Schizosaccharomyces pombe: one gene and its partner. The protein of the gene in region 2 interacts with the protein of the main gene of each other region in a pairwise test. Each region holds a gene or a part of one and is shown on either strand. Other genes may lie near its edges.

Region 1 (5,477 bases), on a different chromosome or scaffold from region 2:
GATGAGAAAGAGACAGGGCTGGGAATATATGTCTGGCTAGTGGGTAGAAGCGCTAGGGGAGAGGACAGGGGGCAGAGGCAGAGGACAGAGGCACAAAAGGTAGAAAGGATGGGTAGAAAAAGGAAAGTGTCAGGAGCATAGTATGTTAGATCTGATATTTAAGGCAATCCACGATAACTCAAAACAATCCTATTCAGCCTTCTCGGTGGCTTTTGATTGATTGATCGACAGAGTAGCATGATCGACAGTAGCGTAATTTTTCGTAAACATTTCTTTTCATTTGTCTATTTGACTAGTTTAGTTAACTTTTCTACGAGTGTCATGAATTGAAATGCTAATAACTTTCTCTAACATTAAGCGAATAATCACTAGCAAGATATTCCATATGGAACACAAGTGTGTTACTTTCGTACATACGGTATTACCTTATAGATGTAGGTGTATTAGTTGAGTTGCAGTATTACTACTGTATAGACCACAGGATGTTTTGTTGTAATTACTTTTTATATATTACCCTCTCTTGGAACTTCTTCTTTACTTTTTCTATTTCATACATCTTTATGCGTGCTTTAATATATCATATTGTCACTAATTCATGTTTCAAAAAAAAAAAAAAATAATAATAATAATAATAATAATAATAATAATTATCGATGCAAGAAAATGAATTTTCTCTTTTCATTCTCCGTGTTATCTTCCCTCTCATCCACCGAGCCAGCCGGTATCTTCTCTTTAGCTAAAATCCTTACCAACGTTGACGTCGTAGAGCAAATATATCTGATCCGACTTGCTTTCCATACACTCAATCAACTTAATTAGCTTATTCTTAATCTCTTGACGTTTATGCTTGTGATAACCCGGTGTAAGGGAATTATAGCGGTCAGAAAGTTTCTCATAACGCTTTTTCAATTCCATCAACTCATTCGTTAATTGATTCACTACCGTCTTAAGAGCCTCGCTGGGCGGTTGACTGGGTCTTAACGTCTGATCAGCATACAAACAATTCGAATGCGAAACCTTCTGCTCCCCTCTTATCAAGTCTTCTTGACGAGCATGACACGCATTGCACTTGCCAACTCCATGAGCTGCACTTTCATTGATAATGTGTTCCACCTGCTTAAGAACATGTTTCGGTAATTCTTCTTCATTGGGCTCATCCGGTACTCCAGTCGTTCCAAACTCTGAACCGTTATGAAAAGTTCCTTGATTCCAATCAAAGCCTGCTTCATTAAGGTAGCTATCCTCGGCCAATTTGTTTCCTTTCATCGAAGAAGAGCTTCTTCGCCTCGGCAACGTTGCTTGTTTCTCCTTTTCAAAATCACCATCATCGGATAAGATATCAGAGTACTCTGAGTCAAGAGATATCTCTTCACTACCTTCATCAGACTCAACCCCCGACGCGACATTCGGCGAATCGAATACGACTTTGCCAGTAATACGCCTTTTTGATTTGGGTCTTCTCTTTCGATGCTTGACAGGACCAGCCTTGTTTGATTGCGATAGTTTCAGCTTAAGCTCCAGAGACTTCCTCATTTCAATTTCTTTGGCCAATTCTTTCACCAAGTCTTGGTATCCCGAAGTCGGTGAAGTGGAGTCTTGTTGAGGAGAGCAATTTTCTTTGGCAGTTTCCGTTCCATTGCTCATTTCTTTAGTGTTTGCGCCGGATTTGTTTTCAAATAATAAGTTGTTGAGCCCGTCTTTCCTTTCGTCTGCTTCATTCATGGACAAGGGTTTTGAACTGTTTTCCGCAGTCGACTTTATTTTGCTTGTTACATTAGATTCCTTCTTATCCAAATATGTCTGAAGTTTCTCTTTTAATACTCGATTCTCATTCAAAAGTTCATTATTCTCAGAGATCTTATTACCCAGACGCATAATATAACTCTCTCGGTCTAATAATACGTTCTTATAAACAGATTGAATATGTTCGTATTGCTCTTGTAGAGATTTCAAATGTTCAGACAAGCGTTCTTTTTCTCGCTTGACTGTGTCATAGCGAGAAGCAGCCATACCATCGTCAACGTTCGATTCACCAAGTTTTGTAAGCATCTCCTTTGACATTCGTTCCTCTAAACTCCTAGCACGTCTTTTCTCCCTGTTATAGGCGTCAGTAAGAAGTTCTAATTTGTCTTGGAGTTCGTCAATTTTTGCGTTGCATTCATTACGCTCTCGTTTCAAAATTTCAAATTTTTTCTCCAACAACTGGTGAGCATTGAAAAGTTGTTCATCTGTGGAAGCAACGGGAATAGTGTTTAGCTCGGGTAAACGATCGTGTTCTTTAGCATTACCGTTTTCATCTATTGTATCATCGCGAATTAAAGAAGACAAATTAGTCAGATTAGGCAAACGGTAGGATGTTTGGTTATTAAAATCGACACTTGGCTCACTGTGATTTAGGCCTAGTTGCTCCATGAGTCTAGCAGAGGCCTTGTAAGAAGAAGGAGTCTCCTTACCTGAATTAAGGTTTGGTGTAGTCTTTGAGCGAAAGCCGTTTCGTCGCCATGGGGTAGTGGGTTTGGGAGGCAGAGCCTCTGTAGGTGAATCAAATGCTAGATTTTGATTTTGACGATTTGCTAAAGGAGTATATTCTGCAGGCTTCTTAAGAAACGAAGGGGATGCATCTAATTTCAGGTTGCCATGATCATCCAAAACACCCTGCTTTTTAAAAGCACCTAGAAATCTATTGCGATAATCAGGAGTTTCGTTGAGTGCCTGTGGGCGAAGATCCGGTTCAGAAATTGGTGGAGACGATAAAGGAAATAAAGATCCATTCTTACGAAAGCGATTCCAACTAGTTTCTTCAAATGCATTCATATTTCGTCCTCTAGGCTTCTCTACACTTGGAAGCGTTTCTAAAGAAGCATTCATGGTAAAATCGTGAAAATGTTTACTAAGGCTTTTGGTATTCGGAGTATCTTGAAAAAAGGGTTCAAAATCCTCCCGCTTACCAGATCTTGGTTGAAAATTTAAATTGTCCTGAAAACTGTCACCATTTAGCTCACGATCAAGGGCCATACCAACTCGAGCCATGGTACCAACATCATCATCGGTTGCAACAAAGTTATCGTTAAATTGGCTAGGCATCCAACCTTACATATAAATATAAAGTGAATAAAAACTGACTTTTTTTTTTTTTTTTTAGAAAAAAATGCTATTAGGCTGACAATATTGCCTTAATATATACTATAATTCGTTTGTTGTCACAACAATGCTTTAATGGTGGAGGTTGGAAAAATGATAAATCGAGCCCACCACGACTTCCTTGCTAAAAACACGAAGAGGGGGATAAATAAACAATGCTAACCAGCAGCTAGTCCCAAATAATCAAGGTAGTATGAGCAAAGGTGAGCAACACTTGATAACCAAGCTAAATACTGTAGTGATGAAAGTGGTTGGAAAAATATCGCACTTTTTCTGCAGTACCTTAAAAAAACAAAAGGAAAAGAGAGAATTAGAATGATATTTGAAATTGCACACTCTTGGTCGAATGCAGTATAGTTAAGGAAATAGGCACAAGGTCGCTGGTCTTCAGGGTTAGGGTTATCGATACAATCCTAATATATAAAGGGACCTTTTGGGTGTGCGAAAAACTAATCCTTCCACATTCAAGTGAAGTATGATGATAGCTTGTGAGTAACCTGAAAAGCCATCCCGGATCATTCACAAGATGAACCGTTTGGAAGGATACTTGATTGCAATGCCTGCACACCTTGTTACGTTTATTGGCATCTATAATAATCTGATTTTCGTATGAATGTGGAGTATTAAAGTGTTTATAGTTTTGTATGCTTAATTTTAGTCCGTATAATTCTAGCTAGCACAAAAATAAAGCCAAAAAATATTTGAAAAGATCCGCGTCGACTTTAAACGATTAATTAGACAGAAAATATCAAAATCGTTGATTTTTATATTCATTAATTGTTCGTAAGTGTATACAATTTTGACAGTATTGATTCGTCGAGCATGAGTATCGTAGATGAATAATACAAAAGTTTGATTTTCAGTTCATTTGGTGTAAGGGTCTATGAACCTCGAAAGGGACGGTTAAGGAAGCTGTATTTACTATCTTTTACTCTCAAACATGGCATATATATTTTTTTATTGACACCAGGATGGGCGCGTTAAAAAAACAGTAATGAAGGAAGCAAAAAGGTAGAAAGAAATTTCAAGCAACGATTTTATACAAATCAAACTACTAAACACAAGGAGCATATAAAATTTAGATACACAATTAACACCACTGCAGGGAAAGCCGTTGATTACTATTTAAAAATGACCTATAAAAAAACTATGTAAACCTAGTAAATGGTTAGTAAAGATTAAGTTCCTGGCTTCTAAATATAAAGAAAATGATAAAAGAATAAAACAATCAGTAAACAAGATAGTTTTTCATCTATATGATTCAGGCAATGTAGATAAGAATTTTTTTCACATCACTTTGTTTTAAATAAATACCATAAAATATCATACCTATTACAACTTCCTGAAGTTAAGACAAAAGAAAATTTTTCTTTTAAAAGAAGAAAAGGCTTGATACTAGCAAAATATTGTAATTTGAGTAAAAGTTGCAGCAGTTCATTTTATGTGCTGAAGAGAGAAGAGATACAGTCGACATACACCTTAGTATATATAGAAAGCACTTAGCGAGAAATCGAATATACTCGTTGCAAAGCGCTATTTTGTAAACATAAAAAATGCACACTATTGTATTAAGGAACAAAATAATCTTTAGAAGGATTGGGTTAAAACAAGAGACTTGAAAATTATTATTTGTTACATTAAAATTTTTGTGGCTATAATTTCGATTGCTTACAATCATCGAGTGTTTTTCTATTCGTTGGTCTATTAAAACAATATTAAAGCAGCACTTTTCAACCTTTTACGATATTAAAAGATAATAATATTATTATTTATTTATTTGTATAAATTGCAAGTTAAGGGGTATTTAACTGGCAAATTAAATACTATAAATGAATTAGCTGAATAGGTTTTAATTTACGCTTTGCCTAAAATTGGAATTAATTATCCAAATGTTAAATGTCGATGTAAATTTGCATAAAACTTATTTAAAAACACAAAAACGTGCATATGTATTTTTAATTATGTATTATGCAACTAAATTGACATAGCACAACAGCTAACTTGAAGATAACAATCAGTTTTTTTATGCTTTACCTAATTTATACTTTTGATGAAGTGCATGCTAAGAAAGAGCCTTTTATTTAGAACAAATGGCATAAGCCAATAAAGGTTTAATTTGTAAGCTTTTTCCTGGTCTATTTCTATTCTACTATAAGCGGTATAATCCTTAACTCTTCAATTATATTCTATAAAAAGATATATCGGTTCAATATGTACTATATACCTATAAAACTTCCTTGTTTTAATATAATGATGTTAATATTTAAAAGGGAATTTCGTATTCATTTAAAAGATTATATGTTATTGCAAATATAATCTAAGTAAGGTTCTTTAAT
Region 2 (4,744 bases):
AGAAGTACCTATTGCATAAATGGAAATATTGGAATCATCCTGTATAGCACAGAATGAATAAAACATTCTTCGAATAGCGAGCTCAATCCATGCCTCAATATGTTTTCTGGATAGTAACCAAGAACGCAAGATAGTATAAGAAGTTGCAATTCCTAATATTTGCAAGCAGCATTCAAAAATATCAAGACTTAGTAACGATTGAAAGTTTAGCTTAGTGACAGCCTTCTTAATGGCTGCAAAGCCATTGTCAGTAATAAAGAGTTGTGGAAAAAAATTACTGGGAATATCATTTCGAATGAACCCCCTCAATTTTCGTAACTCTTCTAACAGAACTTTTTCTGAGGGACAACCCTCAAGCCTCGATAACAACTCAACGCTTTTAGAATAGGCATTCGCCTTTCTGTCCATAGCAGCTTACTTGAATAAAAGATAGAAGAAAGAACCTAACAAAAATATTCGTTCCTAGCCCCTGGTGCACAAGTTTCGTATTTATTTCGATAAACTCTGGTCAAGTGAGTGTATATTATGAATAGGTCATGTGAGTTGAAGCAGAGAGAAATGGTTTTAAAAAAGAAAACGATTAATATATATAATCGATGAAATTAATGAAAATTGATGCTTGCTTAAATTTATCGTTATTGAAACTGGCAATAATAGTTCGTAGTGGTTGGCGGTGAAGTATAGCGGTGATAATGATTTCTTGCCAAACGAAGTGAACTATGAAAACTTGCTGTAGAAGAGAACTACACCAAATAGATAGTAAGTAAAGACAATTTATTTCTATTTCATTTATGCTTGTTGATTTTGAAGTAGGTGTCATCATTCTAAATTCATCTTATTGATAATTCAAAAACTTACAAACAACACCTTTCTAGTTTTTTCAAGTATGTTTACAAACTAAAATGAAAAGCAAAATATTTATTATATTTAGCAAACAGAAGTGTGAACAACATCGAAAGACACTTCATGAAATGAACGCTTCAATAAAACAGTCAAGCACGAGATCATGCACCCAGAACACGAACTAAAACAAACCATTCATCCCTCGAGCATTAAGTCATTGAATTTAAACGCATCTTAAGCATCCTAAGGTTAAACGACGCTGATTAAATGAGTTCAGCTTGGAAAAGACGGTATCTATAAAGAAAAGCAGCAAATAGCTGATAATATATTATTAAAAGTATATGAATGCAATGCCTTCTAATTAGATTAAACCCCAAGGCTCATCACACATAAAAAAGTAACCAATTTGCTTATGGCGTCGTAAAAAAAAGGCTTTAAACCACGCATAATCTGTCACCAGGATTCGTGTTAAGCGAAGATAAAATTATGATCATTTCTGCAGAAAATTCTCTCACTTTTTTCTGTTCCTGGCTCGAAACATATATGATAATGTATGAATAGATTCACAGGTAGTAAAAACAAATACCAAATGTATTATTAGCAAATGTACTAATATTAAAAAATTTTTCACCAAAACTTGCCATAATGAGGATATGATCATGAGGTTAGCATAGAATTTAAGTCAACACAAGATCTTCAGCCAAATAAGCTATGAACCCTCAATAAACTATAAGCAAAGTAACTTTCGCCATCCCAAGGAAAAAGCCCTGCGCTATCAACAAAATTAAAGGACGTCTGGAGGATAAAAGGCAAGTATTGGAAGACTCCAGATGAGAAGAAAATATAAAAATAATGTGCCCATGCTATATAATAATAATATGAAAGGCTAATCAATTAGGTCTGTTGATATATTGAGCTCCGGTTGCAGATGGATCATTTATAACAGGAACGGTTGTATTAATGTCTCCGCCTTTTTCATCAAAGTTTTGTTTTTGATAATTTCTAAATGAAGACCTCTCTGGCGGCGGATTAATAGCTTGAGGAGTTGCAGACAGTTGTTGCTGTAATTGCTGCTGATGTTGTTGGTCTTGTTGAGTCTACAATTTAAATGTTAGTAAATGTGACTATGTAAACTTCATAAAATATCATATTACATTGGTTTTCAATAACTCGGAAACCCAGAAAATAAAAAAAGCACTATTACCAAGATATCTCATACCTTTCTCTTCAAGGTCCAATCAAACATATAGTCAAACTCATAAGATTGCCGACAAAAAAGATCTCGGAAAAGCTTGCGAAGGTAGGCGTAATCAGGTTTGTCATCGAAACGTAAAGATCTCGTGTAATTGAGATAAATTGAGAACTCCTGAGGGAATCCCCGACATAAGACCTCTGTAGGCGTAGAGATCTTCTTCTCCATAATCTTTTCATACTTTTGCTTTTTCGTGGTAGCCTTCAATCCCTGCCAAGGCAGGCTACCACGACAAAAGTAGACGAGCACATAACCTAAAGATTCGAGGTCATCACGGCGGGATTGTTCAATACCTAAATGAGTATTGATGCTAGCATAGCGTGCAGTACCTGTAAGATTCTTGTTCTCGCGATAAGGAATGTGCAGGTGAGTTTTGTGATCACGATACTTCTTAGCCAATCCGAAATCAATTATGTTAACTTGATTTCCTCTTTTACCTATTCCCATTAAAAAGTTATCAGGCTTAATATCACGATGAAGAAAAGATTTTGAATGAATGAATTCAATTCGAGAAATGAGCTGGTCCGCAAGGAGAAGAACTGTTTTCAAAGAAAACTTTCGATTGCAAAAATTAAACAAGTCTTCCAACGAAGGACCCAATAAATCCATCACCATAGCGTTGTAATCACATTCTACACCGAACCAACGAACAAACGGGATTCCGACCCCTCCTGACAAAATGCGATAAACTCTGTATTCATACTCCAATTGAGGGTGTTTAGCACGAGTTGATTCTAGCTTGATAGCGACCTCTTCACCAGAAACGACATTAGTCCCAAGATAAATGTCTCCGAAAGATCCACTGCCAATTTTACGACCAATGCGATACTTGTTCCCAATCCGGAGGTCCAAAGCCATAATAATATTATAACGCTTTTAAGGCTAAAGGCACTCGCTTTTTCTCTCCAATATACTATAGATTGAAATTGAATGATGTGGTTGAGGTAAAAGTAGGGGTTCGAAAAAGTAGAGCAAGTTAGGTAACGTAGAAGTAAAGAACTTAAAGTAAACATAACGAGAGTTAGCATTGCTTTATCAAAATAACGATAATAAATTATAATACAAAAAAAATTCGCTATGCGATTAAATTATAATAGATAGTGAATTTGCGAATATTGATAGTTTACGATGAATGTAAATAAAACATACCTACATACATTCGTACATCCAATATCTATTTTTAGAATGGGAGCGTGATGCTTTTCTTGGTTTCTATTTTATCAATTACCATTTACTGAAAAATGTAAAATGTAAGGTATGGTTTATTAACACTAAGAATAAAAGGCTAATAAAATGTGTCCTTTATAACAGACTCTTCCTTGTAATCTATATACAAAATCTAATAATATTTGAGCCCCAGTAAACGAATGATCTAAAAAGATAGAGAAAATTCGGGTTCTCAGACGAAAATAAAAGCTGTAAGATACACTGTCTTTCCAGTTGAAGCGAAAAAGACCTCCAACCGAATATTGGAGTGCGAAAAAATAAAATGAAAGAACATTTTAAAACAATAAGAAAACCTTTTTCGGAAATTTAATATTGTAGTTCTTTACATAAGAAAAGCGAAAAATGCAAGGCATTTTTCTGTTCTAAATAAGAGTTGACTAATTCTCCATTGAGATTATAAATAATTTGGGTCAGGATTGTGACGACTGAGCGAATAGAATAAAATAAAATAAAATAAACTGACAATGGGCAGGATAAAAGAAAGGGGAAAAACACGCAAAACACTGATCTAACAATATGTACAATGAGCAGTGCGGAATTAAACTTGTAAATGAAAGAGAGTAATGAAATAGAAAGACAAGGCACTTAGAAATCTATAAGACTAACCTTCTTTTTTAGTGGAGAGCCAATTAACGGTTTGTAAGCTAGATACTTCTTTTTGGCAGACTCTAAATGAGTCATCTCTAAATCCGTCGTAATTTTGAAAGACGAAAATAGATCAGCCGTTGGAGATAGCGATATTTGAGAAATGGTTTCTGGATTATTTTCTCGTTGAGCGTCATTGGACATAGATGACTCATTAGAATCACTGCAAGTAATGAGACCAAACTCATAATCATCGGACAAAGTTTGATCCAAGAATGAGTCGGCATTAAAACAATGAGAATCAGGAGACCCATTAACGAATGGTTCTAAATTTTCTGCTTGAGTATCGAAAAAGAAGGCATCAGAAGGGTCCTGAATCATTTGCGTGTCAGTGAAAGGATCAAGAGGATTCAGCAACTCCGAGTCATCAGTCTGTAAACATTTAGTTTGCAGTATATCTTGAGGATCAACTAAGTACATTTCCTCGTCGACTAAATACTTAGATGAGTAACAAGCCAAAACCCATTTAGGAGATACACAAACGATTGGGACTTGAGCAGAACTAATTTTCTTGAGAGTTTCTTGTGAGCAGTCGTAGAGTACTGCGTGAGAAACGGGATTTTCCTCGGTCATTTGTAAAGACGCATGAACAGTTGCGCCCAATAGACGCAATTGTTCAGTAACGATTTCCATTGAAAACATACCTTCTCCGATTTCAACGTAAGCATGGACAGAGCTCAAAGGGAATTTTTGTTCTGTTTCATTAATTTTTGAAATGGTAAGGCCTTGTAAAGATCGAGAAAGGTAAGCCATGGGAACCGTTGGGTTCCATAAATC

What was found.
Region 1: the proteins of hhp1 (region 2) and ppc89 interact in a two-hybrid assay, tested with the Schizosaccharomyces pombe proteins (2 studies listed by BioGRID).

What each region holds. Positions count from the first base shown.
Region 1 is NC_003424.3:3,847,401-3,852,877, forward strand, and holds ppc89 (protein Ppc89), read right to left. Parts: upstream 3,341-5,477; 5' UTR 3,085-3,340; coding exon 733-3,084; 3' UTR 558-732; downstream 1-557. UniProt on the Schizosaccharomyces pombe protein: Has a role in meiosis.
Region 2 is NC_003423.3:1,853,856-1,858,599, forward strand, and holds hhp1 (serine/threonine protein kinase (CK1 family) Hhp1), read right to left. Parts: upstream 3,056-4,744; 5' UTR 2,954-3,055; coding exon 2,063-2,953; intron 1,941-2,062; coding exon 1,734-1,940; 3' UTR 818-1,733; downstream 1-817. Other genes in the region: lvs1 (beige protein 1), read right to left, coding at 1-408; mug176 (BRCT domain protein), read right to left, coding at 3,908-4,744. UniProt on the Schizosaccharomyces pombe protein: Involved in DNA repair. Has a probable role in repairing alkylated DNA and may regulate the activity of protein(s) involved in double strand break repair caused by gamma rays.